Arabidopsis thaliana: one gene and its partners. The protein of the gene in region 1 interacts with the protein of each later gene in a pairwise test. Each region holds a gene or a part of one and is shown in the gene's direction. Other genes may lie near its edges.

Evidence for each region.
Region 2: the proteins of UMAMIT3 (region 1) and AT2G30020 interact in a protein complementation assay, tested with the Arabidopsis thaliana proteins (one large-scale study listed by BioGRID).
Region 3: the proteins of UMAMIT3 (region 1) and AT4G21910 interact in a protein complementation assay, tested with the Arabidopsis thaliana proteins (one large-scale study listed by BioGRID).
Region 4: the proteins of UMAMIT3 (region 1) and AT5G51160 interact in a protein complementation assay, tested with the Arabidopsis thaliana proteins (one large-scale study listed by BioGRID).

The regions. Positions count from the first base shown.
Region 1 is NC_003074.8:16,863,858-16,870,515, forward strand, and holds UMAMIT3 (nodulin MtN21 /EamA-like transporter family protein), read left to right. Parts: upstream 1-3,175; 5' UTR 3,176-3,388; coding exon 3,389-3,642; exon of another isoform or gene 3,643-3,719; coding exon 3,720-3,836; coding exon of another isoform or gene 3,837-3,921; coding exon 3,922-4,195; intron 4,196-4,289; coding exon 4,290-4,445; coding exon of another isoform or gene 4,446-4,484; exon of another isoform or gene 4,485-4,524; coding exon 4,525-4,676; coding exon of another isoform or gene 4,677-4,704; intron 4,705-4,776; coding exon 4,777-4,981; 3' UTR 4,982-5,069; downstream 5,070-6,658. Other genes in the region: CRK4 (cysteine-rich RLK (RECEPTOR-like protein kinase) 4), read right to left, coding at 1-123, 200-437, 528-738, 912-1,033, 1,116-1,250, 1,341-2,184; AT3G45880 (2-oxoglutarate (2OG) and Fe(II)-dependent oxygenase superfamily protein), read right to left, coding at 5,998-6,009, 6,272-6,402, 6,509-6,579.
Region 2 is NC_003071.7:12,811,630-12,818,583, forward strand, and holds AT2G30020 (Protein phosphatase 2C family protein), read left to right. Parts: upstream 1-2,641; 5' UTR 2,642-2,807; coding exon 2,808-3,311; intron 3,312-3,588; coding exon 3,589-4,275; 3' UTR 4,276-4,731; downstream 4,732-6,954. UniProt on the Arabidopsis thaliana protein: Protein phosphatase that negatively regulates defense respones. Inactivates MPK4 and MPK6 MAP kinases involved in stress and defense signaling.
Region 3 is NC_003075.7:11,623,822-11,634,222, reverse strand, and holds AT4G21910 (MATE efflux family protein), read left to right. Parts: upstream 1-2,967; 5' UTR 2,968-3,258; coding exon of another isoform or gene 3,259-3,585; 5' UTR 3,586-4,969; coding exon 4,970-5,302; intron 5,303-6,674; coding exon 6,675-7,306; intron 7,307-7,453; coding exon 7,454-7,510; intron 7,511-7,603; coding exon 7,604-7,842; intron 7,843-7,937; coding exon 7,938-8,056; intron 8,057-8,147; coding exon 8,148-8,234; intron 8,235-8,339; coding exon 8,340-8,401; coding exon of another isoform or gene 8,402-8,402; exon of another isoform or gene 8,403-8,480; coding exon 8,481-8,481; 3' UTR 8,482-8,914; downstream 8,915-10,401.
Region 4 is NC_003076.8:20,788,615-20,795,605, forward strand, and holds AT5G51160 (Ankyrin repeat family protein), read left to right. Parts: upstream 1-3,458; 5' UTR 3,459-3,665; coding exon 3,666-4,169; intron 4,170-4,242; coding exon 4,243-5,067; 3' UTR 5,068-5,227; downstream 5,228-6,991. Other genes in the region: AT5G51150 (Mitochondrial import inner membrane translocase subunit Tim17/Tim22/Tim23 family protein), read left to right, coding at 420-761, 934-1,073, 1,213-1,312, 1,406-1,504, 1,662-2,009, 2,120-2,212, 2,317-2,523, 2,615-2,881; AT5G51170 (U6 snRNA phosphodiesterase-like protein), read right to left, coding at 5,292-5,489, 5,603-5,668, 5,766-5,862, 5,941-6,187, 6,371-6,463, 6,560-6,716.

The DNA.
Region 1 (6,658 bases):
ATTTGATAGACATTGCTGTTCTTTTTCCCACTTATAATTTCGAGAACCAAGACCCCGAAGCTATACACATCTGATTTCATGGAGAATTGGCCATACATCGCATACTCGGGAGACATATAGCCACTGTGACAAAACTCAAAGCTTAAGTTGATAGAAGCATGCATGTTATGTGCCTTAAGGAAATATACGGAAAACTTACTATGTTCCAACTATTCTCCTAGTATTGGCTTCCGTTTGGTCCATTCCGAAAATTCTCGCCATTCCAAAGTCGGCGATTTTTGCATTCATATCATCACCAAGGAGGATATTACCTGCTTTGAGATCACGATGTATGATTGTGAGTCGTGAATCTTGATGAAGATAAAGAATCCCTCTAGCAATTCCTCCAATGATTTTGTACCGTCTAGTCCAGTCCAGCAGGCTTTGCATGGTAGAGTCTGCGCATATGAATTTACAATGTTAGAAACAATGAATGGTATACAATTTGTAAAAAATTTATCTTAGGCTAAATATTGAACATAACTGACCAAAAATGAAGTAGTCGAGACTTTTGTTGGGAACAAACTCATAGACAAGTATCCTCTCATCTCTTTCCAAACAAAACCCTAGCAATCTTACCAAATTTCTATGTTGAAGCTTTGCCACAACAATAACTTCGTTTGCGAACTCTCTTTCACCTTGTCCTGATGTCTTGGATAACCTCTTCACTGCAACTTGTACTCCACTAGGAAATATACCCTACAAAAATAATCATGAAAATGAAACTTTGTTTTTGTTTAACACATATTCGTTTTTATTTATTAAGTGTTGTTTTTTTTTTTATCAAATATATATTTTGAAAGCAAACTCAATTATTTCTCCTTTGTGGCCTTCTAAAAGTTAGGACCAGTTTTGGACAATGGTAATAATACCTTGTAAACTTCGCCGAAACCACCTTGACCAAGTTTGTTAGTCTCACAAAACTTATTTGTTGCTGCCTCAATTGCTTTAAAATCAAACTGAAGTGAGCCCGCAGTGGTAATATCATCACTTTCTGTAAAACATAGAGAACATTCTTCGTGAAGAAAGAAAATAAAAAGGAGATAGTTTATCATTTGGTGTCTTAATATGTATACCTTCGGTAAGTGGTTCCCTCTCATAATTCGTCCTTGTTTTCTTAGCCCGGAGACTAAAGAAAGCTACGAACAGAAGCAGGAGAGCAATGATTGGAACAACAACAACGATGATTACAGAGGAGTTCCGGCCTTTTCCTGTATTCCATCAGATTACATGTATGAACCACTTTTTTAAAACAAATCTTGAGTGTCTCAAAAGAAACGTTGCAGTTATGTCCATCATACCACGTTCTGAAATCAGCGGTGGGGGAGCTAACTTCAGCTGCTGTTGAGGAGTAGAGCGAGGCGGAAGAGACGGTGGTGATGATGATCTAGTGGCGGTTTCATTGTAGAACGAGTAATTCTCGTACCTTGAATTACAACTAGGGTAAAAAAATCTTCCTCCAATTCTGTAAAGAGACATTCCCTTGATGGATTTTTGTAGGCAACGTAAACAGTCTTGTCTTGTAAGATCAGGTGTGCACTGAACTAACAAGTACAAAGGCTGGGGTGTGATGACCTTTCTCGTATAAAATTTTTTAGAACTATTCGCTGCTTCAACGGCAGCTAGGTTCAACGTGGACGACACCAAATCCCTAAACTCATCTACTTGATTTTGATTACTTGATGAAATATTAGCGCCGTTCAACAAGATAGCACTTCCATCGTATGTAACGGTCGAGAGAATATTTCGGTGAGAGTATCTAAGCATACACTCATCGTAATAAAGCACGACTTCTTTGTTATACGGACACCAATATAAAGTCTCCTTGACGGAAAAGGCGACGCAGTTACGGCAAACTTCTTGTGAGACGTCTCCGCGACAAAGGAAAAGTCCGGTGACACGGTCGGGAGCTTGTCCCGCCGTGGCAGTTTGGAATCCGGTAGAGTATGAAGCGTTCCGGGAAGAGAGAGAGGACAAAAGTGTTTTGAGATTGGTGAAGTAAGTGCTGTTTCTTGAATACGTTAATATACTACTTGGACAAGAATGGTTTAGGTGAATAAAATTTTGAACTGGAGCTGAAAGAGGAGATAAGGAATCGGCAAATGAAAGATGAAGGAGAAAAGGAAAAAGCCAGAAGAAAGACATGCTTGAGTTTCTTCGATTTGCATGTGTCTAAGATCATGAAGCACACATGCATTAAATAAATTTATTTTTCTTGACTACTGTACATTAACGTGAAGTACAGGTTGGTTCGAAGTTTTTTTTTTTCCTTTTTAATAACAAAAATATCCTAGGCAAAAGATGATGATGCACATTAGAAACAAACAAAAGGAACGGGTTGGCGATCAGAAATTGCCAAGTAATTCATACCAAGTAGTAACAGAAAGAATCATCGTCATTGATAGGATAAACACTCTCAAAGACAATGACGAAAGAGAAGACAAAATACAAAGACTCATTTGCTACTTCACAATTTTTATCTTTTTGGTATTTTCTTGTAACCAAATCTCCGTTCGTTTGAAATCGTATTTCGACTTGTCATACTGAAATTAAAAAAAAAAAGACAAAATTGATACGTGACATATACACATGGTGGTCAAAAATGAGTATGAGAAAATTGATACGTGACATAACACATGGTGGTCAAAAAAGAGTATGAGAAATGAGACTTTATATATCGATGAAACCAAATCCAATGCATGCAGAGATATCTAAACACATACAATCAAAAGTTAAAGATGTCCAACACATCAATGTCTGTAGAAGACAGTACAACAAAAAAAGCGTTTTGAATCGCTTATTTTTTATATTTGCATATTGATGCAAATGAGTTTTACATCACTTATATAAGTGACTTTAGAATTGGTGAGTGAAAAAAATTATTTACATCGTTTCAAATAATTATTTACATCGATTATAATATTAGAAACATGATGCTTAACTCTTAACATAAATTACGCCAAGACCAATTTGAACCATCTGAAAATTAATTATAGCATTCTATATTTATGTATTCGTTCCTCGAATTTATGTATCTTTACTTTTATAAAATTTTACCATACTATAATTAATTTTTAGATTCTATATATATTTATAAATGAAAATTTAAGGAAATTAGTGATAATGGAATGGCGGGTAAATAGGATCAATCCCAATGCATGCTTGTGTCCGAAGCATGATGTCATCATTTGTTAGTTCCCCTGTCTCGTTCGATCAAAAAACACGTTTTGACAGAAGAGATTCAAAGTGACAATCAGTTTCAAGATTTAATTCTCTTACCCACTCTCTCACCCTGGCTTTCATAACTTTCTCCGGGAATAAGAATCGCCGGAAAAGAAGAAAACCGCCAATGGAGAGTACGGTGGAAAGAGAGGCGTGGAAAGCTCACGTGGCGATGATCGGTGTGCAATTGTTCAACGGAGGATATCATGTCATTACCAAAGTGGCTCTCAACGTTGGTGTAAACCAACTTGTCTTCTGTGTCTTTCGTGATCTCATTGCTCTCTCCATTCTTGCTCCTCTTGCTTATATCCGTGATAAGAGAACAAGACCTCCTTTGAATCGACAGTTTCTCTTAGCTTTCTTCTTCCTTGGTTTAACAGGGTAATTCAAGTTTTCTTCTACCAGTTTCTGTTATCTTCATGATTGCAATCATCACAGTGATGTTTTGGTGTGATTAGGATATTTGGTAATCAGCTTTTGTTCCTCATTGGTCTGAATTACACCAATCCAACTTATGCTGCAGCCATTCAGCCGTCGATCCCGGTTTTTACTTTCATCTTGGCTCTCATTATGGGGTAAAGACTCGATCCAGTCTTTCTCTTTTACTTTCTCTCTGACTCTTCCAAACCTAGAACAATCCATTTTCGTGTGTTGCTGCAGAACAGAGAGACTGAATTTATTCAAGCTAGAAGGTCAAGCTAAGGTAGGAGGCACACTGATTTGTGTCGCTGGGGCGGTGCTGATGGTTTTGTTTCGTGGACTGGCTTTGTTTGGGGAAACAGAGGCTGAGTCCTTGGGTCATGGTGAATCAAGACACACTGAAACATCTGGACACTTCATGTCTGGCTTTTTTAATGGACTTGGGCGATGGAATTTGGGAGTTTTGTGTTTGATTGGGAATTGCACTTGCATGGCTGCTTTTCTTGCTATTCAGGCATGTCATTTTCTTCTAGATGATCCACACACTTTCAGTTTCAGATATCTTCTTGTCTTTGGACTGACCTTGCATTTGAAACATATATGATCAGGCTCCGGTCTTAAAGAAGTATCCGGCGAATCTTTCAGTCACAGCATACTCGTATTTCTTTGGGACCATGTTTATGGTGACATCTGCTTTTTTCATGACTAATGAGTCGACGAACTGGAGTCTCACAAGATCCGAGTTCTTTGCAGTTGTCTACGCAGTATGTTCTTCACACACCATATGTTTGTTGATCCATTAAATTTCTCCAATTGAGTAACTCTGTTGCTTCCTCTATGCAGGGAGTAATCGCGTCTGCTCTCAACTATGGTCTCTTGACATGGTCAAATAAGATCTTGGGTCCTTCCTTGGTTGCTCTCTATAATCCTCTTCAACCCGCAGCCTCAGCTTTCTTGTCCAGAATCTTCCTTGGAAGCCCTATCTACTTGGGGAGGTTTAATATCTCTCTCCTTTTCTCTTAGCTATTCTCAGCCATCAACGGGATGTGTCTGAAGTTTCCTAACTAACTAGGCTTTTTTCTCCTCCTCTCTTAGCATTTTAGGCGGATGTGCAATCATAGCAGGTCTTTATAGTGTCACCTGGGCATCTTACAAAGAAAAGAAAGCGGCAGCAGCAATGGCTGTGATCCCGATCACCTCAAAGGAAGCTGAACCCTTGATCTACAAGGACCATAAAAACAAACCAATAGGACATCTATTCACAAAATCTCCCATCTCTTCACCAAAATCCGATGATTGAACAAAAACTCTGGCTTCTTGAATTACTTGGGTGCTCCGATGTTTTCTTAACCTTTTGCCGACGAGAGAGTGACTATTTTATTTTCTAACAGTATATATATGCATATAAACATCAATGTTTAACAGAGTCTCATTATCAGGTTTGATGTCCTCAATGCGAAAACCATTCTGCATAATACTCGAAACCATAGCCTCCAACAGTTAAAACTGTCTGACCCTCCATAGCTCTGAACACCTTCTCTGCATTTATCACCAACCTATACTTCCTGTACATATCAATCAGCCCACTTTGTATCAAACCATTTGATTCAAACCCGAGCTTTATGGAATTCACATGCACTCGCTTCCAAAATCTAGCCCCATCACTAACATAAGTGGAAGAAAGATACAAATTTGTGGCAGAGGGAGTGAACTTGCTTCCCTGATGTTAAATCTGAAATCAAGGCACATGCTTTTAGAACACATCACATTATGTTGTTCAACATAGCAACAAGGAGAGAAGTGGCATTTTGGTAACCATCCATTGCAATACAGGCTATACAGCTGATGATAACAATTGCAGAGCAACGAAAATCTCTGTAGGGCATTTATTCCATATGTGGCGGGCGAGGTCCAGGCGCCAACATGATACACACATCAAAAAGACGGTTGAGAAACTGCAAGGTTGGTCTTACCCCAGATTTCAAAATGTGAACTTGCAGCTCTATAAGCCCCACCAGCGATCACGAGTCAGTTGATTTCTGAGCCAGAGAAGAGTACAGCTCTTCGGTTCCAGACGGAGAAAGACAATCCAGTAACCCAAGAATGTCGGAAGTCAAGCAACAAGGAGTTCGATCCTCTGGATGGCGTTAATAACGGCAGGTTATGTATGGGATTCATGACAAGAAGTTGACCATGGACCCAGTTCCAGAGTTTTTATCTGAATTACTCTGGAGATTTTAATTAAAGAACATATTGAACCAAACACAGCCACAAGAGCTTTTATATAGATGATGGCTTCAGAGTTCCACCATTAAATCAGGGAGCAATCTGAGACAAAAATGAAGTCATCAACAAAAGAGATACAATTCAGAGAATTTCAGAGCTTTTCTATCATTTTATGGTTCTTTATAATTCTGGGAGACAAAACTTAAGTTATAGTGGAGAAAGCACCAATGGACATGACAAGTAATAAAATTAAGATCTTCTTAGTCTAAATATTACATAATGTAAATTTAAGATCTTCTCCGAGCTTTCTACCATGACTGAGAAAACCTGAACTCAGCAAAAATGTTGTTTCATCTCTTCATACCTCTGCATCACTGGATTCTGAATCTTCGTCTTCTCTCCAAGAAAGAACTGGATTGAGTGAAGATGACTTGTATAATAAAGATTGCAAGAAGTTAAAATAAGCATACTTGATGTCAAACTGCATGTCATACCCTGCAAATTAGATGCATACATAGCTTATTAGAGGCAAGGAGAGCCGAAAAATACTGGCTTGCCACTGAAGACAAACAGATGATGGAAGCAAAACTAAAACTCTTACAATAGTTCACTGCAATGGTATAACCTCCATCTCCTGGGGTTTGACTAACATGGTGAAACCACATGCTTGGCCTGCAAAATTCAGAACCATTCTGAGTCAGAATCATGACTAGAAAATCCAATTGTGTAGTAGGTCTATCACCCATTTCTA
Region 2 (6,954 bases), on another chromosome or scaffold:
TTTAAATAACTTATGTACTAGGATAAAAAGCAAACATTTTTTTTTGGTATGAATTAGTAGTAGAGAATATTACGTGATTAGACACTTTTTTAAAAGTTTGTTCCTAATTAGGCACTTTAAATGGAGAAGTCACTTTAGATAAATTATTTTACTTATTTACCCTTTAACTACATTTTTTCCATCGGTCATTTCTTCTCTCTCCTTTTCCCATCTCTTCTCTATTTTTTTTTTTTCTCACTTTATCGAAGAAAAAAACATTTCCCAGAATATCTTCAATTCCAAATCTGCAATTAATCTCCAAATCCACTCTACGCGATGGCTTTCTTTTTTCTCTGGACTAATTAGAGAATATGAGGTCTTGGTTTCTTTAAGATTGTAATTTATTTTGCAATTTAAATATTTGTTTTGATATAAATTTGAGATTCAATTATCTAAGAAACATCTTCTTCTTCAACAATGGCGGCTTGATTTGATTTTTGCTCTCTCTCATGTGTCAAACTCGTTTCATCTATGTAGCATCGAGATTCCGGTTAATCGAATTTCCTGTTATTATGGACATGATATACAAAATGGATATAGAACAGTAAAAAGGTTTCCGAATGGATATATTTAAATGGACTCGTTATTATGGACACCAAACCATTGTTTGTTGATTTTTCTTTCGGTTTGCAGAGACCTCTACCTTCAAAACCTTATGGACATGGAACTTTGGTTTCTTTACAAAACACGGTTAATCGAATCTCCTGTTATTATTGACATGGTATATAGAATGAATATAGATAAGTAGAAAGGTTTTTGAATGGATATATTTAAATGGATTCGTTATTATGGACACCAAAACATTGTTTGTTGATTTTTCTTTCAGTTTGAAGAGACCTCCACTTCCAAGACCTTATGGACATGGAACTTTGGTTTCTTTACAAACCACGGTTAATCGAATCTCCTGTTATATGGACATGGTATATAGAATGAATATGAATCAGTAAAAGGTTTTCTGAATGGATATATTTAAATGGACTCGTTATTATGGACACCAAAAAATTGTTTGTTGATTTTTCTTACAATTTGCAGAGACCCCACCTCCAATACCTTATGGACATAGAACTTTTACCAAATTCCTGAGATAATCGAGATCAAATTGTTTAAGAAACTTCTCCAAAAGTTATGGAGACGTGGAGAGAGAGAGAGAGAGGCGCTACAAATCATGGAGAGAGAGAGAGAGAGATTTTATTTATTTTGGGTAAGGATCGTGGAAGAGGAATAACAAAAAAGAGAAATTAAGAATTAAAAACATAAATATTGAATTGAGGGTAAAAAAGTCTTTAAAAAAAAAGAATTAATAGAAAAAGTGTCTATTTCCTATAAACTGCCTCAAACGGAAAAACATTCTCTAAAAGTGCTTAATAGTGGAACATTAATCGCATGACAATATAATAAGACGTAAAATTTTTGGTCTTATCATATGCAAATACTTATTAATAAGGAAATTTTGGTCTTATAATATTGCAAAAACTGATTTTTCTTTGTTTACTATTCATCCCTATCACAATTCACAACATTAACAAAAACTTTCTAATGGATTTTTCTTCAACTCTAGAACATTGCAATTCCTTTTCAACTCTAGAATATCAAATACCGTTTAAAAGACAAAACTATCAGTTAATGATGTCACAAATTACTCAAAAAATTAACACTCTCTTAATAAGAAGAAGACTTGTATTTTAATAATAAGAAGACCTCGTGTGAAACGAGATCAATTACAACTTTATGTATTAGACTTTTTGACAAATTCACAACGGTCATCAAATGGAAACAAACAAAACGAAGGCTCCTCTTCAGGCTCTCAACGGTCACTTGCTTAGAAGCTGCGACTACGACAAGCAAAAATACTCATCCAATGAAAACGACGACGTATAGAACCTAACGGTCGTTTTAAATTCTTTAAGATTCTATTTTTCATTTAATTTAAAAAGGAGAAGAAAAAAAAAGTGAGTCATCAATGAAACACTTCTTTAACACAGATACGTTACCCACATGCCCAATTATTAGCATTCGTTTCCTTTTAGACGTGTTTTTGACTTCATTTGAAATGTCTGTTTTAACCTCACAGAGCAAACCCAATAAATCGCTTACTTCATCGTTTTAGCTATTTTAGACTGTGAATGACCGTTTTACCCTCCAACATTCTCTTTTGTACTATCTGCTGTGTTTTATTGAATTTTATTCTACGTTACAAAGGGCCTTTCTTCTTATTTGCAATACTCCTCTTTTTGTTTATGATAGTTCTAGTCTACTAGACATAATTTGTTTTTATTATTAAATTGACATAAAGTTACCAAAAATTGAATGATTCTTATTTTGGTTATGAAAAAATATTGGAATAAAAAATCTCATGGATATATACATTTTTCATTATTAAGAAAAAATGATATTTTCCTTTATTTTGCCAACAAAAAAAAACTGGTCAACAAGAGTAGGATTCAAGCTAATTTTGTTTTCCTCAAAATAATATCCATTTTGTAGAAAGTAAAAGGACAACATAAATAAAGGAAATGAAAGTTGTAAGGGCATAAATGTTATTTACAAAGTCAAAGAGACTGAAAAACTTTGAATAAAGCTCGATAAACACGGACTCTAATTCATTCAATATTCATTACCTTCTTCTTTCCTTTATATTTAAAAACCTTCTTCTTCTCTCTCTGTACATCGTCACAACAAAAAAAAAACAGAAGGAGAAGAAACAAAAACAATAATCTCAGCAAAAACAAATCTCTACTCATCGAAATCGAAATCAAAATATAGAAACGATGTCTTGCTCCGTCGCCGTATGTAATTCTCCGGTGTTTTCACCGTCGTCTTCTCTATTCTGCAACAAATCTTCGATTCTCTCGTCACCGCAAGAATCTCTTTCTCTAACGCTTTCTCATCGCAAACCTCAGACCTCTTCTCCTTCCTCTCCATCCACCACCGTTTCTTCTCCTAAATCTCCATTTCGTCTCCGTTTCCAGAAACCTCCGTCCGGATTCGCTCCTGGTCCATTATCTTTTGGATCTGAATCTGTTTCTGCATCCTCTCCTCCGGGAGGTGTTTTAAAGAGGAAACGACCTACAAGGCTTGATATACCGATTGGTGTTGCTGGATTTGTAGCTCCGATTTCTTCATCGGCCGCTGTGGCTGCGACGCCGAGAGAGGAGTGTAGAGAGGTTGAGAGAGAAGGTGATGGTTATTCTGTTTATTGTAAGAGAGGAAGAAGAGAAGCTATGGAGGATCGTTTCTCTGCTATCACCAATCTTCATGGAGATCGTAAACAGGTAATTTTAAATTTCAAATTCATTTTTCAGTTTTGGTTTAGAATTGAATTGAATTGGTGATTTTGATTCGATTGATTAGCAATTACAGCTCAAATTAGGGTTTATCATGTGAGATCTACATTGATTGGGTTAATAAGCTATCTAAAATTAGGGTTCTTTGGGGAAAATTGAAATTCTGAATAGAATTAGAAGTTTTACAGAATCATATGAAACAATTGTGTGCTTATTGATGAATCGTGTATTCTAAACGTTGTTTTGCTTTGTGATAATTTCTCAGGCGATTTTCGGAGTCTATGATGGTCATGGAGGAGTTAAAGCGGCTGAGTTTGCAGCTAAGAACTTAGATAAGAACATTGTAGAAGAAGTAGTTGGTAAGAGAGACGAGTCTGAGATAGCTGAAGCGGTGAAACATGGTTACTTGGCAACAGACGCGTCGTTTCTTAAGGAGGAAGACGTTAAGGGTGGTTCATGCTGTGTCACGGCTCTGGTTAACGAAGGGAACCTTGTTGTGTCTAACGCCGGTGACTGTCGTGCTGTTATGAGTGTAGGAGGTGTAGCTAAGGCTTTATCTTCTGATCACCGCCCGTCTAGAGACGATGAACGGAAAAGAATTGAAACCACGGGAGGATATGTTGATACGTTTCACGGTGTTTGGAGAATCCAGGGATCTTTAGCTGTGTCAAGAGGAATTGGAGATGCTCAACTTAAGAAATGGGTTATAGCTGAACCAGAGACAAAGATTTCGAGAATCGAGCATGACCATGAGTTTTTGATCTTGGCATCTGATGGTTTATGGGATAAAGTGAGTAACCAAGAAGCAGTAGACATTGCTCGTCCTCTCTGCTTAGGAACCGAGAAGCCATTGTTGTTAGCTGCCTGTAAGAAGCTTGTCGATTTATCTGCTTCACGAGGCTCGTCTGATGATATCAGTGTGATGTTGATCCCTTTACGCCAGTTCATATAGAAAAGAGAGGCATCTTAGAAGATTTTAGATATATGATAAACGTTAGAAATTTGGAGGTTTTATATGATTTAGTTCTTTTGTTTAACTTGATCCATTCATTTATTTATTCTTTCTAACTTAGTGAACAAAGCTAAACTCATTGTGGCTTATGATTACTTGTATGATTCGAGCATTGGCCGAAATTAATCTAATAATCGGTTCGTTATATATCTTGTCATATGTTTCAAGATCCTGCAAATTTCTCTACAGTACAATACCAACACAGTGCTTGGAAGAGATTGACTCAATCTGAATCAAAGATTCCTTGTTTTGATGAATTTCAATTCACAACTCCAACATACATGAAGTTCATATTGAGATGCAACGTGAAAGAAATCGACATGACAAGTGATCCTGGTCAAAGAGTCACACGGCCAATATTGTTTTAAAGTGGAACGAAGGTACAAGAGAAGTTGATCGAGAAAACAAGTTCAACCATAAAGAGAGTTTTCTTAGGAAAAAGGAGAAAAACAAACAAAGTCCTCAAGTTTGACAGGCTAACATAAACCATTGGGCCGGACACAAACCCGAATAGCCCAAAATATATTATTTGTTCACATGTGTAGTTTAATTAGTTTTGGTCTTGGATCTCAAATTCTCAATCTGTTTTCATGCAAACGTAAGATATGTTTTTATTTTGTCTACTAGTTAAAATCTCGTTAAATCTATTCATTTTCGTGTTTTTCACATTCAGTCTGGTTAGACATTGAGACCAATACAAACCACTTAGAATTTTGGCTGTGGTTGACATATATATCCTAACAATGTTGTTAATTGTGACAATGTTGACATGGATTAAGAACCATAATTTTCGATGAATTACATATTAACAAGAGTGAAATGATGTGCAAATTAAATTGAACATATACATTTTATGTACATATAAGAAACAAGCAAAAACAAATATGTGCGGTGATAATGATTACCGACATGGATAAGCCGATAAAAGGATAAGAAAAATAAAACAAAAGATTGAGTTTGTGAAAAGAGGAAGAAGACAATGGTCAAAGAAAGAACGTAAAAACAACACGTGAATTACAAACACATGTTTTTGTGTTGTAGGCGGAGAACACGTTGTTGTTTTTTGTCTTCCAATGGACCCCAAAAACGGCACGTTGTTCGGCTTTTTCTCTTTTGTTCTTGTTTTTGTTTCTCCAACTCTAATTTCTTTTCTTCTCGTATTTAACTTTACCAAACCAAATCTCCGGAAAATTAGCATTTCAGTCCCACACACATCATGTGTTCTACCGATTCAGTGTAACTAAACTTAATGTAACATAAGTTGTGTTAGTTCACTTAATTTAGCTTCCATCTATCAGTTTCATTTATTTCACTGTTTTTTTTTTCAAAAACAAATTTATGAATGAAAGCCTAACAAATAACACCATGACCTACATGATCCACATTGAGTTAATCCCTACAACCTAACTTTACCTGTATCTTTTCATATTTTAATTGTGAAAATCATGATTTTTAACTCTATTTTCATCTCATTACAAGTCAATGTCTATTTTATGTTATTTTACAAGTCAATTTCTATTTTATCTTTTGGGCAGTTTTTTTTTCCAAGAGGAATAAAGCTTGAAAAGAAGTAGTTGAATTAGACTTGTTAACAAACCCATAATAATTAACTAAATAAACAAAGAAAATATCAATAATACTATAAACCACACTCGCATGCAATTAAATATTCACGATGTAATTAAGACAGAGTTCGTCCACTACAACTGGCCATTGGTTGGCATTTACTATTCTTTCAAAGTTAGAATCGGTGTTTTGCGTGTGGTCCCTCGTTTTTTTTATTTAATACACTATAGTTTTTTTTTTTTTTTTGTCAAAATAAGAATCTATAGTTAAAGCCATTTACTTTGTTTGTAGCAATTTGTTTCGCGATGTAATTCGTAAATTAATGTTAGACACACAAAAAAATAGTCCATGAAATGGAAGCGAATCGTAGATACGTGCAAACAATTCACTCGCATTATTTGATTCGAAGCATTGGCCTTATCATTATGTCTTCAGCTCTAATCGACGATTTGAAAATTTAGTGCAAGAAGAAAATATAACCGATAATATAAAGCACCACATGTATTTGACTTTAATTGCTTAAACTATGGTATTCAAGTTAGATTGTTGTAATGATATATGCGGAAGAACCTTGGATCGAAATTTTGACACCTCTCATTTTGTTACTCGATTCGATTTAGAATGAAAAAGAAAGCTAAACGGATTCGGAGGAACACATGTAAAGGATTCACTTATCTCAATGTGAGACCGAGCTTATCTCGGCAAGATGATCGATGCAATCCACAATTTGGTTATCAGCGAGAGAGCTACACCAAGGAAAGTGCAAAACTGTTAACAGACTAATCATGATACTAATGAATTTGGAACAAAAGCTTGTTTCCAACGAATTTCTGACGTTTTTCATGGTTGACAATCGCTATGTTTTCATGTATTGCTCTATTTAATATGGTGTATTCCAAAAAAATTATATCTGTCAGTCTTTCAAATACTTAAGATTCTTTAACTCTCCTACAACTACAAGTCGAGTAACAACCTCACCAAAATTATGCAGTACAAGTATTAAATGAGAGCGTAATTTTTTCTGAGGGTTTTGGAAAAAATTAAAATCTATCA
Region 3 (10,401 bases), on another chromosome or scaffold:
AATTTTTAAGAAAACAAAAACTCAATTTCTCGAAACCATGTTTAGAGTTAGACAGGGTTCAAAATTTGTGTCAGGTTTTTCTTTATTAGTTTCTTCTGAGAGATTCTTCCGAAAGGATTTTAGATGTTATTTTGTGTTGGTTAGTGATGATCTGAGAGTAGAAAATAACTCGCTGCTACTCAGTGCTCACTTCTTATCGCTGGTCACAAAGTGGGCCTGCGTAAGAGGCCTGTTCTTATCTTACGTTCACAAATTATGTCTACTTATTTTAAGTAAGTCCACTATTATAATGTTTACTATACTAAATTTAAATATCTTAATTACCGCTTATCCAACGACCAACATCAACAATTTTAAATTTAAGTTATGATGTCAAAACTTGACCTACTTATGAGCTGAGAAATATTGATTAATAATCTTCTTTTTGTTTTCTTCACGTCCACTAGACTCTATTTTATTCCTAACCGTGGGAGAGCTCGGTCGAGTCAATGAGCTGCTAAGTCTAGGTGGGAGAGCTCGGTTAGCTTTTAGGTCTTTGTTTGCTTTATTCAAAATTGTACAAAGGTTAAACCGTACGATTTCTGTATGGAGTGAGAACAATTAAATAATTAATGGTTAAGTTTCTATGTATCTGTATCTGTAAGGAGACTCAGAAAGCTCTTGAGCTTGAACATCGGAGACAAAGAGAATACTAAATTGTTCTTGTACGGTTCCCAATCCGATAAAATTGTAGACATCACATAGGTCCAATATTTAGGATAAAAGACAAAGATTTGAGACATCTTAGTGTACTCATCCATATTTTTGGATCACTAACTAATTACTCCAGAAATAATTAGTGATCCAAAATACCACATAATTTATTTATTTTTAGTTGTAAGAAAGTTGATTTAAATTTAGTAAACATATCGAAACGTTGATTAATTTTACAATTTTCTAGATTTCAGTGTTATGCATAAATCATTGAATGGTACGGACCCAATAAGGTTGGTGTAGGTAAGATTTCACTTACAAGTTGAGTTTGTGATTTCATAACGCTTTTGTTTGTTTGTGTAATTCAGCTGTAGATTAGATGAAGAACTTAAAATAAATAGACAAGACCACTTTAGCAAACAAAAAAATAAAAATAAATAGACAAGTCCATGCCTATTTTCGTGGTGCAAACGTCGCTCGCAAGTAGACAATTGTTGGGTCACTATCATATCATTGATATCAAGCAAATATTACTTACGATCATTTATTCATCTCATCGCTTTTGCATATCTATTTATGTGCAATATTAGACATTTACATATGTTCGGTACTTCGGTATTTTAGACGGAATAACGGAACCAGAGGAAACTACCGAGAGTTTGAGTAAGTAATAAAGGCTAAAAAAGGGTATAGAAAATGTACATGTACTTTGACTACGAATATAAGAAAAATGATATAGTGATTAGTTTTTAACTTTCAATACTCTTTGTCTTTTTCTATTTGAATTTAGCAATAAACTAAAGAAGAAACTGTTTAGAATGATATAAAATTGGAGACTTTTGCTTGAGTTGTCTAATTTTTAAGATAATCTCATATTACCCATATGTTATTATTAAGCTTAAATGCTTAATTATATAAAAATGTTAATTTTTAGCAAAATTTTTATTTTTTACAAAATAAAAAGCTCGTCTTGTTCTTATTATTATTTTTCTCTAGCTTCTCCAAATCCTATTTATTTATTTTTCTATTTTTTATATTTGGCGACCGTAACTCTAATTAATATTTTTGTAACTCATTTTTATGTGACATAAACATTTCAACATCGGTTATATCCACTTTTTAATGCTCCTAAAAGTATATTTAGGTTAAACTTTGAGTTTGAATCGTTTGTTTACGGTTTCAGATTTTGGGTTCATTCATGAATTTAATTCCAAAATTTGGTGACTTCTTTGTTGCAGCCATTCTAGAGACTTTTTTTTGTTTTGTTTTTTATTTGGTGCAAAACCATTCTAAAGACGCATGTGATGTTTTTAGCCAAATGGCATACATCGGTTATAATTGACATGTCGATATACTATAAAGTATCCACTCATATCTTTTGTTTAATTTTTTTAGTTCTTTCCATAGTTTCTGTAATATTTCGCGATCATAGCTATAAAATTTTAATCAAATAAAATCTTATAATTTGATCATCTCATTTATTTTTATAAAGTATATGATGCTGTATGGGGCGCAGTCACTGAATCTCAAATCTTTTACGTATAAATCATTACTGTTTTATTGATAAAGTAAGCTCAGTCTTTCGCACGACATCAAGATTTTATACGATATAGAGTTTTTGGTACCACGATCGCAACGTATAATAAGATAGTACTGTAACTAACAGTCACGTGATGGAATTTGAAATTAGTTAAACTCTAACCAATTAACTATACGTACATTTTACACGTGGTAAAACAAAACTAAAGCAAGAAGATTCAATTGTTTCTTTTCTTCACGCTTGTGACACTTTATAACCCAATAGTCCTTGTCTTTATAGTTTGATTACTTTTGTCCGTTAGTGTTCACCTTAATTATGGCGTTTGTAAATTTGCGGAGATGGAAAAGAGTGAAGTATCTAATCTTGACCTACATGAAAATCATCAATCCACTATAATAAAATCCTCTAGACCACACTTAATTAGTCAAAATCTAAGTTTAATAAGTGACATAGTTATGTTTAAACTAATAAATATTAATATATTTGTCAATTAATGTCTATATATCAAGAAAATATTATGGTCCTAAATATTAATTTATAGATTTTGTATTGAATATATATTTAATAGTATTTCTTTATTAGAATCATTTCAGTTATGTTCTATGCAATGTGTCTAAATATTATATTTTATTGCCTCTATTACCTATATAGATTTTATTTATATAAATATATAGTAATTCACAATCGTGTTTTACTTAATCCCTGGATCCCACCCGCAGTTTCGTGTGGCCCTCTTCAGTCTTCACTCATCAGACCGAAAGAAGGAAAAAAAAAGAGAGTTAAAAAGCATAAAACCCATTTTCCAATAAGAGTTTTCTTTTTCTCTTCTTCTTACGTGTACGATCCCAATCTAACAACACAAAAAGGGTTCAGTTTTCTTATCTCCATTTTGATCATGTCAAAAACCCCACATGTCCACCCATAATTCCTCCTCAGTCTTTTTATAAACAAACCATTTTCTTGCTTTTGCTCGCAAAACTTTAACCTTAAAAACCAAACCAAAAAAAACAAACTAAATTAAACTTATGGATGTGTCAAATGAGACAGTGGAAAGAACCGATCTCCGGACACCTTTAGTAGATCCGGCAGACACGGAGGTGAAACCTCTACCAGAGGTCGGGCTCGAGAGCGTATTAACGGAGAGTAGCTTGTCATACCGGAGGCGTGTGTACTTAGGAGCCTGTATAGAGTTGAAAGTACTTTTCCGGTTGGCACTACCGGCGATACTTATCTATTTAGTCAACTCCGGAATGGGTATATCCGCTCGTGTCTTCGCCGGTCATGTTGGTAGTCAAGAACTTGCGGCCGCGTCCATCGGAAATAGCTGCTTCAATCTCGTCTATGGACTTATGGTATGATTTACGTTACCGTACCCATATGAATATGATATGAGGAGACATGTTGGTATTATATATGAAGATTTATACTAATTATTATTTTCATTTGTTATAAGCGTTATCGTATATTTAGTGAAGTAAATGGTGGAGTAAATTATAAGCATTATAATTTAGTTGGAAATTAAGGATTAAAGATTTTGATTTTCTCGTTTTGTGTGTTGACATAACATATAAAAGTACTCATATATTATTAACCTAACCTAAATGGCTAAAAGCTTAGCAAACCACGTTTATTTTGCTAAGGATAACAGCCTGTAAACGATGCTGTATTTTTCTATCTTATATTCCTATATCCTAATTTGTTCTTACAATTTAATGATTACATACCATTTATTCGGTTCTTTTGTCTTATGAATCTTTACCATTTTCCTTCAATTTTTTAATTTTTATTTTGGGGTCAACTACTAGGCACGATTTTAATTTTAATTTTCCTACTAGGCACGATTTCTTCAGGCGTTGAATTTACTCGTATTGATATATAAACTATTACCGCCATGGTAACTATGAATGAAGTTAACTACTCGATATTCTTAGGGATAGAAACTTACGTAATGCAACTAATTGCATTAACACACGATCACGATAAGAGTTTTTACTAGACGAAATCACTATGGTGAGTTTTTGTGTGAAAAAGTTCAACTTTTGGATTTTGTAAGAGAATAATCTTTCACTTCCTTAGAATTCCGTGAAACGATTCCTTTTTCTTGTCAGCTAGTATAACTTAACGATTAATTGTAACTGTCGTTTTGCTTAATAAATGATATAATTGCATTTTTTGTCGACCAAAATAAATAATTTTTTGTAGTATCGTTTGTTTTGCAAGTCATTCTTTTGAATATTATTGTATGCTTATGATGAGTAGTCAATTAAATATTTATGATTTTCTCTTTGGATTATAGTGTAAAACTGAGCTTTCTAATTTTTGCCCATGTGAGCAATTTGTTTGTTTACCTAATATTAGGACTTTCTACTGTTTTCTCTTACTTTATACTAGAATTTGTAAAGATCTTCTACGTTAGATTTGTTTTCTTTTGTGTGCAACACGTTCTATTGTTTAATATGAATAATCTACAATATGTACTTTTTTCTTGGATCATCATATCGTTCTTTGTTTTATTGTTCATTTAAGAAAGGAAAAAAGATATAAAAAAATAGATACCCATTTTCAATAAAACTTTTTCTTTTTTAATTATGTGTACAATCTCTATTTATAACACACTAAAGAGCTTCATTTTGATTATCTCAAAAAAAACCACACAGATCCTTAAATCTCCAAATTTCCTCCTCAGTCTTATCATTATAGACAAAACCCTTTTCTTTGTAAATTTTTTCCCAATCTATGGAAGTGCCTAGTGAAACCACGAATTTAGCCGATCTCCGGCGACCATTGGTGGTTCCGGTTGTCTCGGAGCGTAAACCTCCGGCAGACGTCGGACTCGGACTAGAGAGTGTTTTAACGGAGCGTAGCCTTCCGTACCGGAGGCGCGTGTACTTAGGGGCATGCATAGAGATGAAGCTACTTTTCCGGTTGGCACTTCCGGCGATACTTGTCTATTTAGTCAACAGCGGAATGGGTATTTCCGCTCGGATCTTCGCCGGACATCTCGGTAAAAATGAGCTCGCCGCCGCGTCCATCGGAAACAGCTGCTTCAGTCTCGTCTATGGCCTCATGGTACGTTTTAATGTCAACGAGTTATCAGACGCGGTGATATTATTAAATATTATTTCTTGATTTTTGCATTCAGTATTTAATGTGAAAGGTTCGTAGCACGATAACTAGTGGAGTCAAAAAAAAAAAAAAATTGCTTTAATGTGAAAGGTTCGTAGTAACAATAGTCCTTGTTTCGTGTGTTAACATTAACTTATTAGAGCTAATTAAGATGGTCACGATTATTTGCTTACGCACTACATACAGCTTGTACGATTTATTCTTTTGAAATTTTCTTCATTTCCCACCAAATATAGATATATAGTAAGTTTTAAAAATCCATTTATTAGTTTGATCATTTAATGACTCTGCAGCCTTTCTTCTTTTTAAATTGTCTTCAACCGGGGCCGGGGATCGAAACAATAATTTTCTTAAATAAGATTAAAATTTCCATCTTTAATATACTGGGGAGTATATTTTTGCAATGTAATATTTATTTATGCCTTAAATTTTGAATACTATTCTAACTAATGAAAACGATGTGGGATTTTTATTTTGTGGTTGATGGTTACGATTTGGTCATAGTAGTGAACAATTATTTGTTTAATATAAAATGCTAAGCTTGTTTTGACGAAACAGTTTCCAATTGCCTTATAGTATTATATCAAATGAAAAGAGAAAGTCAAATTACAATCGTTAATGTGTAAATCATATAGGTTTGAGAATGATTATAGCTTTTAATATATATATATATATAGATAATTAAAAGAAAATTTTGTATTGACATCTAAGGTGGCCAAAAACATTTAAAGAATGTAGTCAACTAGGTAGATTGTTTATAAAAAGTTAGATAAGTTCTTCCAAAAATTGGTTCTATCTTTGATAAATAATGCTTAAGTCTCGTATTTCTTAAAATTACCTCACTAATGTTCACATATCGAGTATCTAAAGTATCTAGTGGAAATTTTGTCCACATATAGAGCTTTTGAAGTAGGTTTAGCAGACTAATCATTCGTTGCATGCCAGTCAAATATGAAATATACACATGATAAGGATGGCACAATGATGTCTCTGCTTACTTTTTCCTCATGAAATGTGCTCATCGTGTCTTGTCAGTTGTCATTAGTTATTTATGCTCAACCACTCATGCATGTGTTTATAAACGTTAATGTGTTTATAATATTTTTTAATAGATTTGATTTAAGAGGAAAACTACTATTCAAAACATTTTATAGTTTCATTGATAAGTATAACTAGCCAATAAGTTATTCCCGTAATTTAGAGTATACAAACAAAGATATTGTTGATGTCCAACAAAACTGGTGCCCACATTATATTTTCAACAAAAAACTTTATATGTAACTACTTTTTTTGCTTTTTCATGTGTTTTTTGTAGTTAGGTATGGGCAGTGCAGTCGAAACACTATGTGGACAAGCCTATGGAGCCCATCGTTACGAGATGCTTGGGATCTATCTCCAAAGAGCAACAATAGTCCTCGCTCTAGTTGGCTTGCCCATGACATTACTATACACCTTCTCGTACCCTATTCTAATCCTACTAGGGGAACCCAAAACGGTGTCGTACATGGGATCCAAATACATCGCCGGGCTCATCCCTCAAATCTTCGCTTACGCCGTCAACTTCACGGCCCAAAAGTTCCTCCAGGCCCAAAGCGTGGTTGCCCCGAGCGCCTTCATCTCAGCCGCCGCCCTCATCCTCCAGATATTGTTGACGTGGATCACCGTTTATGTAATGGACATGGGCTTTATGGGCATAGCTTATGTTCTTACAATTTCTTGGTGGGTCATTGTTGGATCCCAGTGTTTTTACATTGCGGTTAGTCCCAAGTTTAGACACACGTGGACTGGTCTTAGCTGGAGATCGCTCCAAGGTCTTTGGAGCTTCTTTAAACTCTCTGCTGGCTCAGCTGTTATGATTTGTCTGGAAATGTGGTATTCGCAGATTCTTGTTCTTCTTGCTGGTTTGCTCGAAAATCCTGCTCGCTCTCTAGATTCTCTTTCCATCTGGTAAGTCCATTAATTAGTTAGTAACTTGATTCTTGATTCTATATCATTTTCTTAATCACTTATACTTTTTTTTTTTGGTTTTAATGTGAAGGAATCACTTATACTTCTCTTTTATCTAACTATTTTTTTCTTGTTATTTTTGTGCAGTATGTCAATTTCAGCATTATCATTCATGGTCTCTGTCGGCTTTAATGCTGCTGTAAGGTTAGTATTTGTTTCTCAATCAATTTCAGATTATCATCCAAACATTGCTCAGGTTAAATCATAATTTTCTATACAATTACTATGCATGGACAGTGTACGGACAAGTAATGAGCTTGGAGCAGGAAATCCGAAATCAGCATGGTTCTCTACATGGACGGCGACTTTTGTATCCTTCGTGATCTCCGTGACGGAAGCCCTCGCCGTGATTTGGTTTCGTGATTACGTTAGCTACATTTTCACGGAGGATGCTGACGTGGCTAAAGCCGTCTCTGACCTCTGTCCTTTTCTTGCCATCACCATCATTCTCAACGGAATTCAACCTGTCTTGTCCGGTATAAGTTCATTTAGATTTAAACTAGAAAACTTAACTGGTGCACCTTAACCGAACATGACCAAATAAATCTCGGTTTGGTGTTGTTGTTTGTAGGAGTGGCAGTGGGATGTGGATGGCAAACATACGTGGCATATGTGAATGTTGGTTGTTACTACGTTGTTGGTATTCCGGTTGGGTGTATTCTCGGCTTCACTTTCGATTTTCAAGCCAAGGTTCGCTTTCAAATATATTATGTATAGTATTAGTATATGCTTTGTTACTATCAGTTTAATAAAAATAATTTTACGTGAATTTTGGTTATAGGGAATATGGACCGGGATGATTGGAGGTACCCTCATGCAAACACTCATTTTACTTTACGTCACGTACCGAACAGATTGGGATAAAGAGGTAATGTTACATGAAATTAAGTTATATCATAGTGTAAGCTGAATTTGATTCAAAGAGTTTGTCCAAATTATTAAGGTTTATTATTATTGTATAATAATGATACAGGTGGAAAAAGCGAGGAAACGTTTGGATCTGTGGGACGACAAGAAGGAGCCTCTCCAAAACTAGTAATGGATTTTACAGAATAAAAGTATATTTTTAAAAATAATTAACATTAAACTTTACAATCTGATATTTAATATTCAGGTTATAACAAGTTTGGTGGAGTGATAGACAATAAAGAAAAGGAAATAAGTGTCGTGTGTGCAGGTGATTTCAATGTACGTAGCTTTTCATGGTTATTATGCTTGTTCTATGGAAATAGAACAATTAAAATATATTTTTGTCTGATGGATTATTCTTTATTTACGAAAAGTTGTTCTTAAATTGATGTTTCTTTCCTTTCTCAGAATGATTTATTATGTCTTCACTCTATAGACAGTTATTAATTATTTATTATGGAATTTTGATGTAATTGGGTGTAGTAAGTAAAGTAGCACATCAATGTGACATAGCTATCCAGTTTTCTTTTACTGATACATTGTAATTTAATGGATGTTTATTTGTCGAAATGCCATTATTCAAATTAAAGTCGTTTAATGCATATTATTGACATATAAGAATAAAAGCTTCTCTACTCGAAAATTAGAAACAATGCACAGTATTGTAACGAGAATCGTGGATCGCAGTTTCCTGTCATACCTAAAATCCAAACACGAGTTACATGGGCATCTCTTGACAAATTGTGAGGGCCACGCTATTAATAACTATAGTGACGGGTCAGTAATCTAACCAATGATACATGATTCAAACAAATATAAATGTATAGTTAATAGGTAAATTTCTTAAGCAAACAAAAATAAAATTAGTCAAACGGGGAAAGTGACAAAAAAATATTACGTAAAATTTAAATCGATACATTGTCTTCAGTCTTCACCAATATAATTAACAAATGTCACTAGATTGTTTTTTAAAGATTTATTAGCAAAATATTGAATATATTACTCGACATATTAATTATTATATGCTATAAATATGGAATGAAATAGATTTGTTGATTTTTGAAGACCGAAAAAGAAGCTAAAAGGAAATTTTTGATTAACGATGCAATTCATCTTTCAAAATCATCTTTTCATTAAGTCATTGAGCTGATAAAGTCTGTTGGGCACAGCCATATATAAATTACGCGGGTAAACGGATTATATAGTAATCGACACTTAAAAAACAAACACAAAAGTTGATTTTGTTGACCGACTTTTTCTGTCTCTTGGCCTAAATTGGCGTCCAGGTTTTAAAACATATAAGACATAGCCTATATTTTGTCAAAAATAAATAAAAATAAGACAGCTATATACGTACGTTTTTTTCTCTTTTTTTTCTGTCATCTGGAATTATATTAGAAAATTAAAACTTCAACACATGAAACCACCGATTACAAGGCTAGACTAAATCAAAGATGAAGCGAACAAGAGTTAGCTTACCACAAGGCCCAACTCCAACATATTCAAGAGTGGTCTATACAAAAAAGAATGAGCTCTGAAACATTGAGTACCTCACAAACCAAACCCCCCATGTACAAAAGTTGATCTCAAACACTGAGCATCAACACCAAAAAGACTTCTCACTAGCAAACAGAAGACAAACCTCTTTCTTCAACAAAAACACCATTCAACCAAGAAAGATGCCCCCACAGCTACATATATAGGATTGAGACCGAGACGCATCCGTAACACTTTGGGCGATGAGGTTTGCTCCTCTGTTTGCAGCAGTGTACACTGAGCATCAACACCGTACGTTTTGTTCTATGCAATTTTTTTTTTTTTTTGTATTAATATTAGGGTGTTTATTTTGCTTTAGATTAAAATATTCTTGCAAAGAAAATCTACATTATATTGTTTTATATAACAGCTTACAATATTTTATTTTGTCTCCGATCACACTCTAATTTTCTCGTTCCATTAGAAAAAGAAAATATCAAAGACCAAATCAAGAAGACTTTTTTACACATGTAGTATTTTAAAACACAAAACGCCGAAAACGGTTTGTATTTCTTATGATCATTTAGATTATATTAATTAAAACCCAACCGATCGTCATTCTCCACCCAATTTACTCCTCACTCTTTATA
Region 4 (6,991 bases), on another chromosome or scaffold:
TTTTCTTTTAAAATTAATATATTATATTTATTTTGGTTATTTTTTATTTAATTACTATCGCACCCGCTGGTTTACCAGTCATAAAACTCCCGTAAACGCACCTATTATCAAACGCTCAACCAGTCGTTCAAAACGCTTGATAACGCTTGAAACCGCAACCGCCTGTTTCCGCAAACTCCCGCAACCGCAACCGCACCCGCACACTTTCTGCTTTATGGTAAAAAATAAATCTTTTGGATTATTTTCCAAAAAAGAAAATAAGAAACAAATCAAAAATCATAAAGAAATGACGTGTCATAGCATATCCCCATCGGCTTCTTCCTCACTGCTCCCAACATTTTTCTCTGATTGCATCATTTCATTTCCTTTAAGCAAACGAGCTTGAGAAGCTTTCCGATTTCAATTCCTTTTAATTGACGATGCCTTCTTCGTTCTCCAAGCCGGATTTAGATCCTTCTTCTTCGCCTCCACCGATTTCTCCTTTATCTCAAGACAGCTCGGAGGCTGAGCGCCGGCTTCGAGAAGCGGAGGAGAGGCTACGCGATGCCATGGCGGAGCTTCAGCGTAGACAACGCTCTGCGGCGCGTGGATCTCACGCGGAATTGTGTGATCACGCTGACGTTTCTTGCGTCGCCAATGCCATTGGGAATTTATGTCAGAGCTTTCTTCTCTCTTATGGTGTTAGAGTTGGGATCGGGATTCTTCTTCGCGCTTTTAAGCTCGCTAGGGGACAGTCTTATTCGTCTCTTCTCGATCTTAAGGTGAGGAATTGATGAATTGGAATTTGTTTTTGTGGCAATTTCTGGAGATTTAGAGTCTTACGAGTCTCTGCTTTAGTGTTCCATTTGATACGGTTGTTTTGAAACTATGGCCAATGTGTTATTGACTTATCATTGTATATGCGATTCACTCACACGTGAACAATGGTTGCAGCAACTTGTTTCAGAGAAAGATTTGATAGTTAGGGAGGAAGCATGTCGTATTGGTCTACTTTTTGGTGGCTTTACTGGCTCGTATCATGCCCTTAGATGCTGTTTGAGGAAGTGGAGAAAGAAAGAGACGCCATTGAATTCGTAAGTTTATTTTATTTATTTGTGTTGCCTAAGATTTCGATTGTTGTATCTCTTTTCTTATAATGCTTCTACTTTTTACTTTGTGCATAGTGCTTGAAAAGTATATTCCTTATTATGACTTTGATTAAGGGTGGAGCAGAGTCTTAGCAGGTTCAGTTGCGGGTTTGTCTATCTTGGCTTTAGATGATTCCAACCAGCGTCGCACACTTGCTCTATACCTCTTGGCTAGATTAGGCCAGGTACATCTAATGGTCATAGTATTGTCTGTCGTACAGAGTAATATCACCACACAGATGTTTTTTTCGGAGTCTGATTTTTTCTCTTATTAATAGGCGGCTTATAATTCCGCTAAGTCAAAGAACAAGTTCCATCTTTGGGGTAGCCATTGGAGACATGGAGATTCGTTACTTTTTTCTCTTGCATGTGCTCAGGTATTTGAGATTCTTCTCTTTTCTTCCTGTTCTAGTTAGTAATGGAGATAGTATAGACGTTGAAAGACATTTTTGTGTACCATACGTATTCTCTCCAATGTGATTTGGTAGTGATTATGGTCAGCAAGCTAATTTTGTTGCAATGAGGTCGGTGCAGGTTATGTATTCCTTTATAATGCGTCCTGAAACCTTGCCAAAATCATATAGAGAATTTATTCAGAAGACTGGTCCAGTTGCAAGGCCTGTCTACCAAGCTGTAAGAGAGTGCTGCAGAGGTGGTCCAATTGATGTAGCCTCCTTGTCAGCCTATATTTCTAGTAAAAACGAAGCAAGCGACGTGAAGGTGGAAGAGTTTGCTTCCATCATTCCCTGTGCAGCTATTCATCCAAACACTAACTCGTGTCTGGCCCAAAATGCTAATGCAATGTCAGCTACATTCAAGAAAACATTTCCATTATATTTCTCCCTGACTTTTGTCCCATATGTTGTTCTACACCTACAAAAAGTAAGACTGTCCCTCAATATTTGCCGTTTCAGTCTTTTAGATTCCTATGGTTTATGCATTAGTCAGACATGATATGTAGTTTCTGATGCCATCCTACACTTTCATTTCAGTTCATGGCTTCTCCTTACCGGACATCTTGGCTTGCAATCAGAGATTCAGTTAGATCGACGTCCTTCTTGTCTGCTTTTGTTGGGATTTTTCAGGTAGCTGGTTTTTACATTTGATTTGTGTCCCCTCATTTCATACAATTCACATAGTTTCCTAAAACCATTCCCAAATGTATGTGCCTTCATCCCATTTGCATTAGGCTTTCATATGTGCCCATAGAAAAGTTGCAACCAAAGACCACAAGCTCGTTTATTGGTTTGCGGGTGGTGCAGCAGCCCTCTCAGTTATGCTGGAGAAGAAACCGAGACGCTCTGAGCTTGCTCTATATGTTCTTCCCCGAGCAGGAGATTCTCTGTGGGAGATACTTGTTAATCGCCACCTTCTTCCCGACATTAAAAATGCTGAGGTACAATACAATTACAAACCACTTTTGTTATTTCCAACTTTCTTCCCCTTTGAGCAATGGAACTGATGTTTTATACAATTAATGGAAACAGGTGGCTTTATTCTGTGGATGCATGGGAGGAATAATGTACTACCTCGAATATGAACCTGATACAATGGCTCCGTTTCTGAGGGGACTCATCCGTCGGTTTCTTGCTAGCCAAATAAGCAATCCTAGCAGCAAATACCCTCATAGTTCGTCCTATTCTTATCTCCAGACCCTAGATGCATTGAAGAAACCGAAAACGCAGGAGAGCCGAGAAGGCGAAACTCCGAAAGCCGAAGAAAAGTATAACTTGGAAGCAATTCCCGGTCTTTAGAAGTATAAGCAGAAGCTGTCTGATACTATATTAGCACCTGACGTTGAAATTGAGCAAACCAAAAAGGACCCTTTACGGAATCATGATTTTGATTGTGTTTCAGGAAGTTAATGTGAAACTTTCCAGAAAGAAAGGGTTCCTCCACACAGAAAACTTAAGAGATTGAAGTGATTCATAGGATTTAGGAGCCTGTTTTTTATTTTCTTTCACGTAATAACAACAACTCCACTGTCTCTTCTTTATTTCAATGAGAAGTAGCAGAATGAAGAAGATTTATGGCAAGCGAGTCAAGCTGTCTTGATTTGTTAACACCAACACAGTGTTGAAACTTGAAACAGATCACTAGATATATTCCTTTTTGTCTTGTTATAATCTTGATCTATTGCTTAAAAACTCACTTCAAGAAAAACACAGTTTTGTTTAGTTTCCTAATGCAAGTTCTCTCAACCGATGGAAAAAAAGTCAATTCGTCTAAGATTTGACTCTCATACCCAAAAACTATTGTATTACTCAAATTGTTGAAATTTCATCTGTATTGGTCGGAGCGGATATGAATTTGCACATACGATGATCTCAGGGTCAGAAAATCAAAAGATAAAGTAATGCAAACAACTGACACTTGTAAGCATTTGTTCCACTTTAAGGAATACTTCATATGCTACAAAGTCAAATGTCAAAGGGAGTTTTGTAATAGAAAATTTCAAACAAGCGTCGTGATGGTACACACCTTCATTGTATATTCAACTCGATCTTCTCTCTCTCTTTCTTCTGCATCATCACCAAAATGGATGCTTTTGAGACTCATTTACCGAAGGAGATCGTCTCTGATCCTCTCTATAACTCCTTCAACCCAAGGAGTGAAGAGTATGTCGTCGCCGGAAAGATTCTCAGGCAGCGGTCAGTCTTTGACTTGGACAAAAACGGGTTTAGCCCTCTTCATGCAGCTGCGGCAGCCGGACAAGTAGAGACTGTGAGGGCAACTTTGGGGGTTGAAAAGAAGCTTTGCCGCTTAAAAGATAGAGATGGAAAGACTCCTCTACATGTGGCAACGATGAGAGGGAAAATCGATGTGATCAGAGAGATTGTAGCGAGCTGTGTTGATTGTTTAGAAGACGAGACCGTACAAGGTCAAACTGCTTTGCATCTTGCTGTTCTGCACCTAGAGATCGAAGCAGTCATAGCCATTGTTGAGTTGATCACAGAGACAAATCGATTTGATGTGTTGAATAAGAAAGATGAACAGGGTAACACTGCTCTTCATCTTGCAACCTGGAGAAAAAATCGCCAGGTACGACGAATTAAGTTGCGGTTAAATAGTTTTCTTCCAGTGGAATCAAACTCTGTTTTTCTTTTGCCTACAGGTGATTGAAGTGTTGGTTCAGGCAATACCAGAAGAATCAAGGTCATTTGAGGTGAATGCTATGAACAAGATGGGTCTATCAGCGATGGATTTGCTGGTTATGTTTCCGAGCGAAGCTGGCGATAGAGAAATCTATGAGAAACTCATCGAAGCTGGAGCTCAGAGAGGGCGAGACATTGGCACTACTAATGTCGAGAGAACCACTTCTACTTCCACATGCCAAGAGAGAACAATGAAGTCCCAAAGCCATAAAGAACTTGTCAAGTACTTCACTTTCAAAAAGCACAGAGACTCACCATCAGAAGCACGTAGCGCATTACTAGTGGTGGCTTCACTAGTCGCCACAGCCACGTTTCAGGCCAGCTTGACCCCACCAGGTGGAACCTGGCAAGATAGCTCAATACCTGCTGTATCCCAGAACACAACGAATGTGAATACTACAAATCAACAAGCTCATACAGCAGGGCAATCTATCATGGGGACCTTCAATGGAGTTGCTTTCACTTTGTTTGTGTTCTTCAACACAATTGGGTTTTCGGTTTCACTGTCTATGCTCAACATTCTCACCCTCGGGTTCCCATTGCGGTTCCAGCTTCAGATCTGTATGATTGCTATGTATTTCTCGCACAACACAACCATGGCCAGCATTGCACCTGATCATGTCAAGCTTTACTGCATTCTCATCACATCCATCCTCGCTGCTACCACCCCGGGTTTGATGAGGTTGCTCGAGAACCCTATTGGTATGCTCGCTCACTTCTTGGACTCCAGGTCACAAAAAATTTGCTCCATGATTTCACTTTCATGTAAACGTTTTGTAACATAATAGTAGCCAGTTCAATATCTACCTTATTTCAAATCACAAGGACTTGTTGTTGCATTGTCCAGAAATCACCAATGTTATTACGAGTGATATTATGATATATGGAGACTTTTTTCTATGAAGAGACATATATTATGGAATACCCAAGAACACAGATCAACTCATCCTTCTATGTCGTTACAAATGCATACCTGATTGGTCTGCAAACACAGAAATTTGAGATTTTCTTATTCATCTGGGAGTTTACATATTTTGTGTGTTTTGTTTCCTATCTTACACTCGATCCCACAAAACTTAGAGGTGAAGATACGATTCTGCACACAACCACCTGCTCTAAGCTTCCTAAGTTCCACGTCAACAGCTCCCTTTAGGGAAGTTCTAATATCACCCAACGCCCAGACCAAGGATATATGCGGCCGCGGATCCTAAAAGAAAAATTGAAGCAGACTCGATGGGATAAGTGTCCATGACGATTTTCATTGGCTAAACAGTAAAATACAATCAAGCTGTAAAGTACTATATAGAAAAGCAAGTGGACCTTGTAGAACTCCGGCAGATTGTGGAGCTTGTAAACTTCATTAACAGCATCAATTTGCTTACTTATCTGAATTAAGGATATGATAATCAGTACAATATCTAACACAAGGTACTGAGTATGCAAAAATCCAACATTCAAGGTTAACTCTTGTTGTACAACATACCTCGGATAGTCCTGAAGTAGTGATTTCCAAAGAAAGGAAAGAGCGAGTATGGTCATCATTCACAAAGACTTCCCACTTATTGAAATCTATCAAGTATCTGTCAAAAACAGAACGGAAAACAATTCACAAACCCCATCGTAATTTGGGTAGTATGGTAGGCAAGAAATGATCTTACCTCTTCTGCAACTGAAGCTTTTGCCGAAGCATAGAAATCACCGAGTTAATCTGATGAACACGTAGTGGAACGTTTCTTCCTAAGCTTATGTGGAACTCTCTCCCCAAGGCACGCTCAAACTTCTGATCATCCTTGCATAGAATGCTGAGTGGCACATCAGCCTCTACCAAATGAAGATGAGGAACAACTGATGCAACCTTCTTTAAAAAACATACAATCTCCTTCTTTGGCAGTGGAGGTATACAAACTAGAATCCCAAAAACAAAATAAACAATGAGTGAAAGAGAAAGACAAGTGATACACTTCATCAGGCCTGCACTTCATCAATACATTCTCAAACACATACGTATCCTCTTATACTAAACAACCACTTCAGAATTCAAAAACCTCGAAACTCTCAGAAATTTTAAGCTACGAAATGAACAAATACCAGGTACGTAAACGTGCAAAGCGTAATTTCCATCGACATGAGGAAAGTTTCTTACACGAACTCCAGGCTCTGTTGAGAAGAAATCCAGTGAACCTTCAAGTTCAGACGAAATAAAAAATAAGTGATGAGTGAAATCTCTAAGAATTTGATTGAGGAACAATCACAGAGACAATTGATGAGCATCTTCACCTGTGGATACAATGGAATCGAGAAGCGCAAGCGGTGGAGGAGGCAAGGAAATCGAATCTTTCTCTCCAGAATTTGCAGTAACGGGACTCGCCGGAGAAAGATCATCGGTATCGGAATCCGATGAAGAGTCGCCGTAGGACGCTCTCAATGCTTCCATTGCCCGTAAATTAATTAAAACAGAAAAACCAAACAGAGAAACTATTTAAACCAGATTTCATTTTCAAGCATAAACCAGATTAAACCAAAATGATTCTAATATAACCAAATTAAAGCGAACCGAATATAAACCGAACCATCCGCGAAGACAAAGCAGCACAATTCGGAAACCATTAACGGGCCGAGAATGGGCCTTCACCGAAGATCAAAGCAAAACCCTAATTACGTTCCCTATAAATTAGACACCAATCGCCGGAGGTTTCATCATTATCAGTA